Ovis aries: one gene and its partner. The protein of the gene in region 1 binds, or shares a complex with, the protein of each later gene. Links are inferred from orthologs where the notes say so. Each region holds a gene or a part of one and is shown on either strand. Other genes may lie near its edges.

Region 1 (5,387 bases):
CTACGTCATTTTTCACAGTTAAAATCACGATGCATTTTCAAGTTTGCCTCTTGCCTTTCTCATTCACAGTAAGAACACAAGCATTTTCACAGACATATTGGCCAAATGTTGATTTCACATATGAATGAACTTTAATTCACTTAAGTAAACCGGACATTTTGGAAGCTTCCAGACTTTTGGCATTATGGTCCACATGGACGGTGCCTGGTAACTTCAAAATGGTAGCTCTGTACAGAGGAGGGGGATGTGGGTGAGGGGTGCAAGTGGACACTTGCACTGAATTTTGCTTGAACTTTTCTAATGACACAAATATATGAACTGTATAATACGTAATAACTCCTTATACTTTAACAAGTAAACCTTTGTCTACATTCTGGATCACATTCCTAAGGTGGAATTGCTGTATCAAAAGGAAAATCTCATGTTTCAAAGTACTCTATCCCTATGGCTCTTCTAAACTTGCACATGTGCCGAGAGGAGGTAATCGGTGCTCTGAAACAGTGATGGCACACCAAAGTCCCTTTTCTCTCCTCAGGCTTACCCTCATCACTGAGAGACAGTCAAAGCAATCTGGAAAAGACTCTAATAAAAGGCAAGGATCGCTTCTGGGAGATCCAGAGGGATGGAGCCCACCTCTTCATCGTCATCCTCATCTTCGTCCTCTGAGTTGGAGCCAGCTCCATAATCATCTATCATATCGGCATCACTGTCCTCGGAGCCCCAGAGGTCCTCCTGGTTCACCACACCGTCCCCTTCAGAGTCTTCCTCCTCCTCCTCTGCACTGCTATGAGTTGGTGCCGGGCGCTTCTTGCCTCGAGCCATGTTAAATAAGGACGAGGCTTCCTTCTTACCAGGTGTCTGGACAGCTCCTGCAGAGACCCCAAAGGGTTTGCAGAATCCTAGACCGGTGGCAGACAAACACTGATAGAACCTGCCTTCCCTACACCTGAGAATATCCTGTGGCTGTTCCTTTCAGGTCAGAAATGCTCAGCAAGTCCCTCCTTCCCCAGGACCCAGAGGAAGAACCCAGCTCTTATTTTCACTGACCTTTTGGTAGCTTCCCAGGCAACGGTTTGGCCCCAGGGGACTTATTCGTCTCAGGGGCTTCAGCAGAGCCCAACCTTCTCTTGGCTGCCCTAAAAACACATAAGAAGTGGAAAACGGAACACACCTCCAGGCTCTGCCACCTCCCAGAGTGGGGAAATGTGACAGTCCCCAACAGCCCTTCCCATCAGCTTGATCACATGGGATCACACGCTGAAAGACGAGCAGGACCGATTTAATCCGTGTAATCTAGGTCTGGACACACTCACCTCTTTCGAGCACGACTTGACAGCCTTTTAGAATTTTCATCACCACCTGTTTAAAAACAATCAGAATAGGAGATTACAGGAGAAACAACTAGGATACTAATTAAAGGGAGTAAACAGTAAGCCACTCCACTGTGCTCTGGGGGCTTTCCTGGTGGCTCAGACCATAAAGAATCCGGCGGCAATGCAGGAGACTCAGGCTCGATCCCTGAGTTGGGATGGGGAAGGCAATTGCAACCCACTCCAGTATTCTTGCCTGAAGGATCCCATGGACAGAGGAGCCTTGCGGGCTACAGTCCATGGGGTAACAGAGGATGACAGGGCACACACACCACGTGCTCTCCCAGGAGCCGGCCAACAGATGCCAAGGAGACGAGCTCCGTCTGGTTGTTCACCAACCAAATCCAAACTGGGCCTCCCTCCAGACTGGTTTCAATGGCATCAGCACCATTCTGGTAACACAGACTCTTTCTTCTGCTCTTTTACTCTCAACTAATCAGTTACCAGGGCTTCCCTGGTGGCTCAGTGGCAAAGAATCCACCTGCCAATGCAACAGACCAAAGTTCAATCCCTGGCTCCGTCCCCTAGCGAAGGATATGGCAACCCACTCCAGTATTCCATGGGAAATCCCATGGACAACGGAGCCTGGCGGGCTACAGTCCATGAGGTCGCAAGAGAGTCAGACACACTGAGGCGACTAAACAATACAATCAGTTACCAACCACAGATTCCACAACTGCTGCCGTTCATATGTTCTCTAAATAACTTAACATTTAAATCTCAGCTCTTTGATAATTATCAATTACAGACAACTAATAATTGTCTGCAAGTTAAACTCTCGGCATCCACTTTCTAAGCAGCACCTCTCTCATAGGACACTGCGGTGATATGAGCCCAAAGGGTTCAACACAGTGTTGAGCACTTGCCAACACCTCAATTAATCACATCTTTTATACAAAGATGCACATGAACTACCTGCCCCTTCTCCCCTCCCACCCTGTCTTCCATGCAGTAGACAACCAAGTATTATGCAGGAACCAGATTTGTGGTTATCGTCTCCATCTCCTCCAGAACGCAGTTCACAGTGAGTGGACTGCCCCCTTCCCAACCTCCCCTTGCTACAGTGTCATCCATTTTTCCCAAAACCCAACTTCTTTACAGAATCTTTTTAAGCTCTCTTAACTCTATGGCTTGCCCCTTCCTGGGAACTCCCTCAACGTTGAATCACACCTGTCCTTGCATAGCTTCTTGTGTCCCTGCTGCATCTCCTCTAGGTTCTAAATGCTAATCAGAGTATTTCATTCATACTAGTCTTCTAGTAAATCATTACAACGTTCTGTTTGAACGGAAAATGAACACATAGACCAAAAAAACTAAAGAGTTAAGATATAAAGGAAGAATAACGCAAAAGCGGGAGTATCAGGAGGGGAAGCACGCCTGACTCTTACCTGCAGGCAAGAATTTGGCGAGTTCGGTCTCTGCACCTTTCTGTTTCCGGGCCTTTCGGCCCGGCCCGCGCTTCTCCTTCTTCGTAGGGTCCAATTTGCGCCCCATGGTCCTGGGGAACACAAAAACGGGAGATGGTAAACGTGCTGAAAGGGAAAGGCAGATCGCAGACGGTCAGGAAAGGGCAATGACTCCATCAGAACCTCGACTCAGCAGCCCCCTAGCCTCTCGAGGCCTAGCCAAACCTCCACTCCACGCTGAGCCCCAGGCCCTGGGTCCCACGCGCCAGGTGCCCCTCCACACGTCCCAATCCAAGTCAGCGTCTCACTCTCCCTCACCTGACTTAGTTCAGACCCGCCCGAAGCCTCGGCTCACCTGAAAGAGGAAGGCACGGAGTTCCACGTGCAGCTCGGCCAGGAGATCAGACACCACCCCACGGAAACGTCTCGCGCAGGCGCACTGCGCGCCCCGAAGTCCCGCCTCTTCCGGCCTTCCGGTCCGATTAGGAAGCCGGAACACTTGCTCGCCGGGCCGGCGCGAAGCCGGGCAGGATTCCAGAGCGGACCGCTCCGCTCTCCCCGCTGGCGAAGGCGGTGCCCACGAGGCGTCTTCGACTTCCCCGCCCTCCACTCCAGGCGTGGGCCTTTGGCCTCGTAGAGTTCATTTGGAAATACTGTACCCGGAAGCCGCCCCTTCCCCCTCGAACACCGGCGCTAGAGCTGCGCCCTCCGCCTGACGTTGCCCCGAGATCGGCGGCCCCCACGCCTGTGACGCGGAAACCCTCTTCCTTGACCGCAGGACCCGCGCTGCCTCTCAGGTAAGACCAGGTTCCCGTCTTGGAGGTCGGGAGGAAGGCATCTCGTGTCCACATTTCACCCACGCAAGCTAACAGAAAAACTGACTTCAGCCTTCCTGCAAGTAAACACCAAGGTGGCGCTCAGCTGTTAAAAATACTGTTCCAGCCCTGGTTCCACCTTCACAACACTGCGAGGAAGATCTTTTCATTTTATGCATGATATTTCTACAGCTTGGAGAAGCCTGCTTCCGCACGCTCGCAGAGCCGGGAAGCCACGGATCAGGTTGTGAACCGCGGGTGGCGGGGCGTGGGGAAGGCGTCCTGCCCGGAACACGTGTACAGATGGGAGAGTCGATTCTTCCGTGGACTCTGATGCTACAAGGAAACCCCTATTCTCCAATTACAGGTGTCCCAGGGCTCCCGTCACTCACTCACCCACCTGCACCTACACCCACACTGAACCAGAGCACTAAAATACAAGGAAACTTTTATTTTCAGTTTTCATCAAGAAATTTTTTTTTTTTATGCTTTTGGTTCTTTTCCTTTTTTTTTTTTTTTTTCCACTTTATTTCATTCTAGCCACTCAGGGGCTGGAGCCGCTGGGTTCCTGGTATTAAAAAGATGCCAACAGAGGTAGCTGTGTCTCGCCCAGGGGCCCGGCCCACTGTGAATACCCCCCAAAAAGGAGAAAAGAAAACACAAAATCAACCAACAAAATAAAACGTAAGGAGGAAGAAACTCCGATCATTTTCTTCAAGCCTGGCGGGAACCCACAACAGTTCGTGTGTAACAGACAGTGTTACAGTGGGGAGAAGCCAGGGCCCAGAAGGCCAGCCCGCCAGCTCCCTGCAGATGGCGCCGGCGCTACTGCTGCAGTCTCTCCAGCAGGAAGGGCACCACTGCCCCTCACTCCCTCCCCTCCCCTAGTGCTCCGGGGACTGTTCCTCTACAACTTAGAAGATAGGGCAGAAGGAAGGAGAGGGTCTCTCGGGCCCCAGGGGAGAATCTGGGCAAGGGAAAGTGAGGAAGGTCACTGCTCAGCGGTGGAGGTGGTATCTTCCATCTGGGTCTTCACTGCTGCTGGGCTACCTATAGGAAGAGAAGGCCAAGGGAGTCAGAGTTTCGAGACCACAGCAACCCACTAGATCCCAAGAGGACTCACTGGTAAGCCCACCCCGCTGCCCAGCCTGTAAAGCTAGGGACAAACAGCAAAGTTTCCAACTTCCAGAATGGCTCTGTTCAACAGCTGGCCAGAGGAAAATGGTCCTATACCTGCTGTGGAGGTGGTTCAGGCGCCCGGTTTGCCAGGCGACTGAGAATATTACGCTCTGACATCTGTAGCCTCACAGCAACTGGGGGGATTCGGGCAATAGTGGCTGGGAGTCGAGTCACATCAGCTTTCATGTCACTCAGCAGTTCTTCTAGCTGTTTCAGAACTGCATGGGGAGAAAAAGAGGCGGTGAGCCGTGGTGGTCAAGACCCAGGTCCGTCCTCCCATATGGGGACCATCCCTTCCCCCTAGTACTTCTCAGTGACCGAGTAACTGATGTGCTGGAATACTGTCATTTGTCACTGAGTCACCTGACCTGGCTCCACCACATATTCTTATTCCTCATGTTCCAGTTCCAGCTGCCCATGATTCTATGATTTTAAAGTCACCTGTCTCTTAATCTCTACTGTCTTATTTCCTCCACTTCTTGAATAGTTATTCGTTTCCTTTTCTCATCTTCTTTTGGAGCTCTCCCTTCTTCCTTTATACCAGCCTTCTTTCTGTCCTTTCACCCTCCACCCCCCTCCTCACAGTGTCTTAACTTTAATCAGAATCTGAATGTTGA
Region 2 (5,134 bases), on another chromosome or scaffold:
AAGTCTTCTGACATGCCTGACTTCCTTCGCCTGTAAACATCTATTCAGAAGTTTCGAATGAAACAATACTTTCAAGTTGATTTTTCAAATGCACCCTGGCACACAGCAATAGCTAATAAATGAGAGTTATTATTGTTTCTCTGAATAAACCAGTATGGCCAGATGGCTCAAATACTGTTAATCTTAAGTGGTATATGTCTTGCTTCTAAATAGAACATAAGACAAAAAGAAGAATCTATCTCTGCCTGTACTATGAGTAAAATAATCCATTTCAGCCTCAAGGAGGATATATGCAAGAATTAAGAGTAACAGTCTCGTTACTCTTTTTGGATTGCAAAATGAACCACATTTTCTAAGTTAAATAATGGCTCATTCAGGACACAAGTCTATCCACTTGTGTCCTTTCATGTGATAGTTCGATTTTGGAACTGGAGAGTATCTTCGGCCAAGGAAGGAATAATTTGCCAATAAAATGTCATCCCCTCTATACATTGTAAACTTCTCCAGGGAAAAGACTGTGACTTATGCTCCAGCTATAACAGTAGCTGGCACAAAGTAAACAACAATTAATGAGTTTTCGATTCAAAGTCTAAGGGTTTTATGCTGTATGGGATTCTGCAGGAACTTCTGGGAACGTAAGCTCAACAACTTTTCACTGCAGAAAAGCTTTTGTCATGGCTGCTTTTGATACTATAATAAAAGGCACGAATCTTTTCCTCATAAACACATCTGGCATATAGACCTCCTAAATTCATGGGGAGGGCCCAGTGTAGAGGTTGTTAGCATTTACCGTGACAAAGGTGAAATGCCTGCAGACATAGCTTGGGAGATCTTTGCTATTACTACTGATTATTTCATCTGTCCTTCGTCCACGTTGGTTTTATGTATTTTTCGTAGCTTGGAGAAGTAAACATTTCTCTTGTGAACTTATTCAAGCTAATTTCAAGCTTCTCCAAGAGGCCCAAACTATTAAAGGAATCTGCAATAAGACAAAATAACACAGGAAACCTTAATAATGTATGGAAGGGAAGACCCGAGGCCAGAAACCACTCCAAGCACAGTAAGCTTCTAGAAAAGCCACCTCTACAGACAACTCCAGTGATTATATCACAGCTTATAAAGTAGCATCTTTAGAGTTGAGAGAATGGAGCTGGAGAGACCTAAAAGGCCAATTAATTCAACAAGTCAAAATTAAGGTGGCATGTCTCGAGTTTGTTTGAAAACAATGAAACACCTGGCTTAGGTCGGCAATGAGATAACAAACCGCAAAACAACAAGCGCGCAAATCCGGCAGCTCTAAAGCCTGAAAATAACCACAAAGAATAAGTAACGACGGGTTAAGCCAAACCAGCGCATTTCTTTGAAACAAGTCATTAAAGTAGCCTCTGCGTGTGAGGAGGGGCTCTGCGGCCCTGAGGCTCTTTCTTGGGCTGTCGGCTCCGGTTGTCCCAGTTTGGACGTGCAGTGGCCACATGGCTCCCGGGCCCATCTCTCCCTCTGAGCCCCAGGAGAGTCAAGTTAGCGACAGGGCTCCCCGGCCGGGGACTGCCACTCAACCCTCCACCCCTTGTACTGGTTCGCAGCCCCTGCACAAAGCTCAGTTGCGACCCCAAAGCCCCGGTTCTTACCATAGTGAGGCCGGCGGAGCCCCAGCCACATCACCCTTCCGGGCCCAGGGCGGAAGAGGCGTGCACGGCCGGCTTGCCTTTCTCTTCCCTTTCCGCGGTTTGGTTGGGCCTGTCAGGGTACCTCCTCCTGAGGCGCGGGTCTCGGGCTCTACGATAGGCTCCTCTCTTCCGGAAAGGACGGGACTTAAATGACGTCATTCAGCCCCCGCGGAAGTAGGTAACACTCTCATTGGGTGCTGGATGTCCGCCTGTGGGAGCGGGCCTTTCGGAGGAGGCCGGAAGTGGAATTACTAACAGGTAGGGTCCGGAAGTGGCGACTGACTTTTAATAGTAGTCGGCGATCCAGTTATTATTATTTTTATTTTTCTTTACTTCTCTAGAACTCCTCCGCGCTCAATTTTTTTCCGGCTTAGACTCCCCTCGATGTGTAAGCTTCTGGCCCTTCTGTTTGTAAACACTGGGGAGCACCTGAGTTCTCTGGCGTTACCCTCATGTCGTGCATCGCCTGGGCTCCCTTTTCAGTTTCTCCCTTTGCACCTGCGGGATTCTTTGTGTAAAGCGCCTTTGAAATGCCCTGTAAAGCTGTGGGATTAGGACACTTGAATTCAGGGGGTTGTGTTGAGAAGGTGTTTGATCAGTTTTCTAACATTGGCATTCTCGCTTTTAATTCTCAGCGTTTTGTAGATTGTCAGTGGGTTCGATCTGAGGCTGAAAGGTGCCCGTTGCAGTCAGGAAAGAACTTTCTGTGGGAACAAATGGAAAGGAGCTGCCTTTCCTGAGTTCAGTAATTGATTAGGTGCTTTAGAGAAATGGTCCACCTGCAAGACATATACCAACTTTTTCTTTTAATCAGTATTATTATTTAACTTTCTCTAATTTTAACAATCCCATTAGATAGGTTCTATTCCTTCTCCCCAGATTCTTTTTAGAATATTATCAGTTTTTTAATACTTTGACTCAAAGTGGATTGAGAGAAACAGGAAAGGAAGTTCATATAATGCATTGATTTATGTGCTGTTCTTGGCCAAACTATGAGACCTTTCTATATTTAGGGCAACACAGTGATTACAATATTTGGGTTTCTACTATCTGTGATTGTATTGTTGGCTACTGCCCACCAAGTTTTTTTCTTTTCTTTTTTCTTTTTTTTTAAACCATTACTAACTTTTTGTTTGAATCTACTGAATTGTCAAGAATTGGTTAAGTACACAAATTTAGCAAGTACTTAACTGAGCTTTTATTCATACCATCATGAGATTGCTGCAGAGGGATAAAGATGGCCTGTTCCTTCCAGAAATTTTATGGGCATGGGGAAGAGGGGAATAAGAAATGTATAAAAATATACTGTAACCTTGTCCTATCAAAAAAACAAGCTGTAATGCTTTGTCTTGTGATTGCTTTACAATATATTTTTAAAGTCTTAACCATTCAAATTAAATAATCTTGGCTTGGTTATGGAAATTATGTTGTGCAACTCATCAAGCTTGGTTTCCAAAGTAGTAAATGTGTCTGCAAACATCTTGCTGTCATGTAGATTGTCTTCATTTACATGGACACTTGAGGGTTATATGTGATAGCTGAAGTGCACCAGGAAATTGAAGTTGTTAAAAATCACAGTTGATTTACTGTATTTATGAATTTTAATTAATTTTAGACCATGGGCTCTTATGTACTTCAGCTTCAAAATAGGGAAGAACAATGCCAGTTATTTTAAAGTTACCCATAGAGGAAGCCAAATAGCAATAGATAAGACTGAACATACATTTATATATAAAGTTTTTCATGTAACACAACAAAGTTAATCTGACACGATCTCTTGGCAAGATCTCTAAGAAGGTGGTAATTGAGATATATGGTCATTAAGCACATGAACTCCCTACTCTTGGCTTCACTGCCAGTGAACTAATTTAAGCACTGTCTTACATTGCTATATCAAAAATCTCTTTTCTAGCAGCTCTGGTATGGAATCTTATTTCAGACTATCTTGGATCATTTTCATACACACTAAAAGTGAAATCTGGTTCTTGTAATTTCCTTCTTCAAAAATTATTGCCTCTCCTGCATCTAGAAGAGTATTTTCAACTTTGATTTCTTAGGTTCAGTAAGAAATACTATTATACTTTATATACTTTACATACTGTTATATGTAAAAATAGTACATATTTATGTTTTTCTGTGCAAAGAAGGCATGGACCTCCCTAGTATTGTCAGGTATTTGACCTGCACAAAGCGCTCAATGGGGCTTCCCTGGTGGCTCAGAGGTTAAAGCGTCTGCCTCCAATGCGGGAGACCTGGGTTCGATCCCTGGGTTGGGAAGATCCCCTGGAGAAGGAAATGGTAACCCACTCCAGTATTTTTGCCTGGAGAAGCCTGGTAGGCTACAGTCCATGGGGTCGCAGAGTCGGACACAACTGAGCAACTTCACTTCACTTCTTCACTTCATTTCAAGCACTCAATGGAGAAGGCAATGGCACCCCACTCCAGTACTCTTGCCTGGAAAATCCCATGGACAGAGGAGCCTGGTAGGCTGCAATCCATGGGGTCCCAAAGAGTTGGACAGGACTGAGCGACTTCACTTTCACTTTTCACTTTCATGCGTTGGAGAGAAAATGGCAACCCACTCCAGTATTCTTGCCTGGAGAACCCCAGGGACAGAGGAGCCTGGTAGGCTGCAGTCCATGGGGTCCCAAAGAGTTGGACAGGACTGAGCGACTTCACTTTCACTTTTCACTTTCATGCGTTGGAGAGAAAATGACAACCCACTCCAGTGTTCTTGCCTGGAGAACCCCAGGGACAGAGGAGCCTGGTGGGCTCCCATCTATGGGATCGCACAGAGTCAGACACGACTGAAGCGACTTAGCAGCAGCAGCAGCAGCAGCAGCAGCAAGCACTCAATGGGCTTCCCTGGTAGCTCATCTGGTAAAGAATCTGCCTGCAGCGTAGGAGACCCTGGTTTGATTCCTGGGTCAGGAAGATCCCCTGAAGAAGGGATATTCTCCAATATTCTTAGGCTTCCTTGGTGGCCGAGCTGGTAAAGAATCTGCCTGCAATGTGGGAGACCTGGGTTTGATCCCTGGGTTGGTAAGATCCCATGGAGAGGGGGACAGCTCCCACTACTCCAGTATTCTGGCCTGGAGAATTCCATGGACTGTTTAGTCCATGGGGTGGCAAAGAGCTGGACAGGACTGAGCAACTTTCACTGTCAAGCACTCTAAAAGGCTTGCGTGTTTTGTACCTGGCTTTTTTTGTTCAGTAAAATAAAAACCTTTTAAAGGGAGGGATAATGAAGGAGGGCCAGTTGACCTGAATGTTAGGCATTCAGTGAATGGTTTTTTAAATTAAAAGTTTAAAAAATTGAATTGATACTGCTTTTAGTACCAGACTGCTTTCTCCCGTCTCCTTTTACTTGTCTCTAGTATTGATGGTGTTGATAATATCCTTTTATCTGACTTTTTTCTCATTCAATAATATTCACATATAGTAAAAAAATAATAGTTTTACTTAAT

What was found. Proteins that work in one complex are often made in the same cells at the same time.
Region 2: the proteins of IFFO1 (region 1) and XRCC4 are in contact, whole or in part, in a crystal structure (PDB 6ABO), measured with the Homo sapiens proteins. The link is inferred for Ovis aries from reciprocal best matches to the Homo sapiens genes IFFO1 and XRCC4. Residues at the interface, in NP_001317253.1 of Homo sapiens: Arg469, Glu470, Tyr473, Ile477, Gln479, Ile480, Glu481, Glu483, Leu484, Ala487, Lys488, Asp490, Met491, Arg493, His494, Leu495, Tyr498, Met501, Lys505, Leu508, Asp509, Met512, Cys515, Arg516, Leu518, Ile519, Thr520, Gln521; in NP_001304941.1 of Homo sapiens: Trp155, Val158, Gln159, Phe162, Glu163, Cys165, Val166, Lys169, Glu170, Glu173, Leu176, Tyr177, Phe180, Val183, Leu184, Lys187, Lys188, Lys190, Ile191, Leu194, His195, Lys197, Leu198, Ala201, Ala202, Arg205, Glu212.

The regions. Positions count from the first base shown.
Region 1 is NC_056056.1:209,679,964-209,685,350, reverse strand, and holds the start of IFFO1 (non-homologous end joining factor IFFO1), read right to left. Parts: upstream 3,192-5,387; 5' UTR 3,132-3,191; exon of another isoform or gene 3,095-3,131; intron 2,903-3,094; exon of another isoform or gene 2,869-2,902; 5' UTR 2,865-2,868; coding exon of another isoform or gene 2,759-2,864; 5' UTR 1,360-2,758; coding exon of another isoform or gene 1,314-1,359; 5' UTR 1,137-1,313; coding exon of another isoform or gene 1,048-1,136; 5' UTR 900-1,047; coding exon of another isoform or gene 634-899; 5' UTR 1-633. Other genes in the region: NOP2 (probable 28S rRNA (cytosine(4447)-C(5))-methyltransferase), read right to left, coding at 634-899, 1,048-1,136, 1,314-1,359, 2,759-2,864; CHD4 (chromodomain-helicase-DNA-binding protein 4), read right to left, coding at 4,624-4,641, 4,825-4,988. UniProt on the Homo sapiens protein: Nuclear matrix protein involved in the immobilization of broken DNA ends and the suppression of chromosome translocation during DNA double-strand breaks (DSBs).
Region 2 is NC_056058.1:80,502,620-80,507,753, forward strand, and holds the start of XRCC4 (DNA repair protein XRCC4), read left to right. Parts: upstream 1-1,856; 5' UTR 1,857-1,925; intron 1,926-5,134. Other genes in the region: TMEM167A (protein kish-A), read right to left, coding at 1,629-1,631.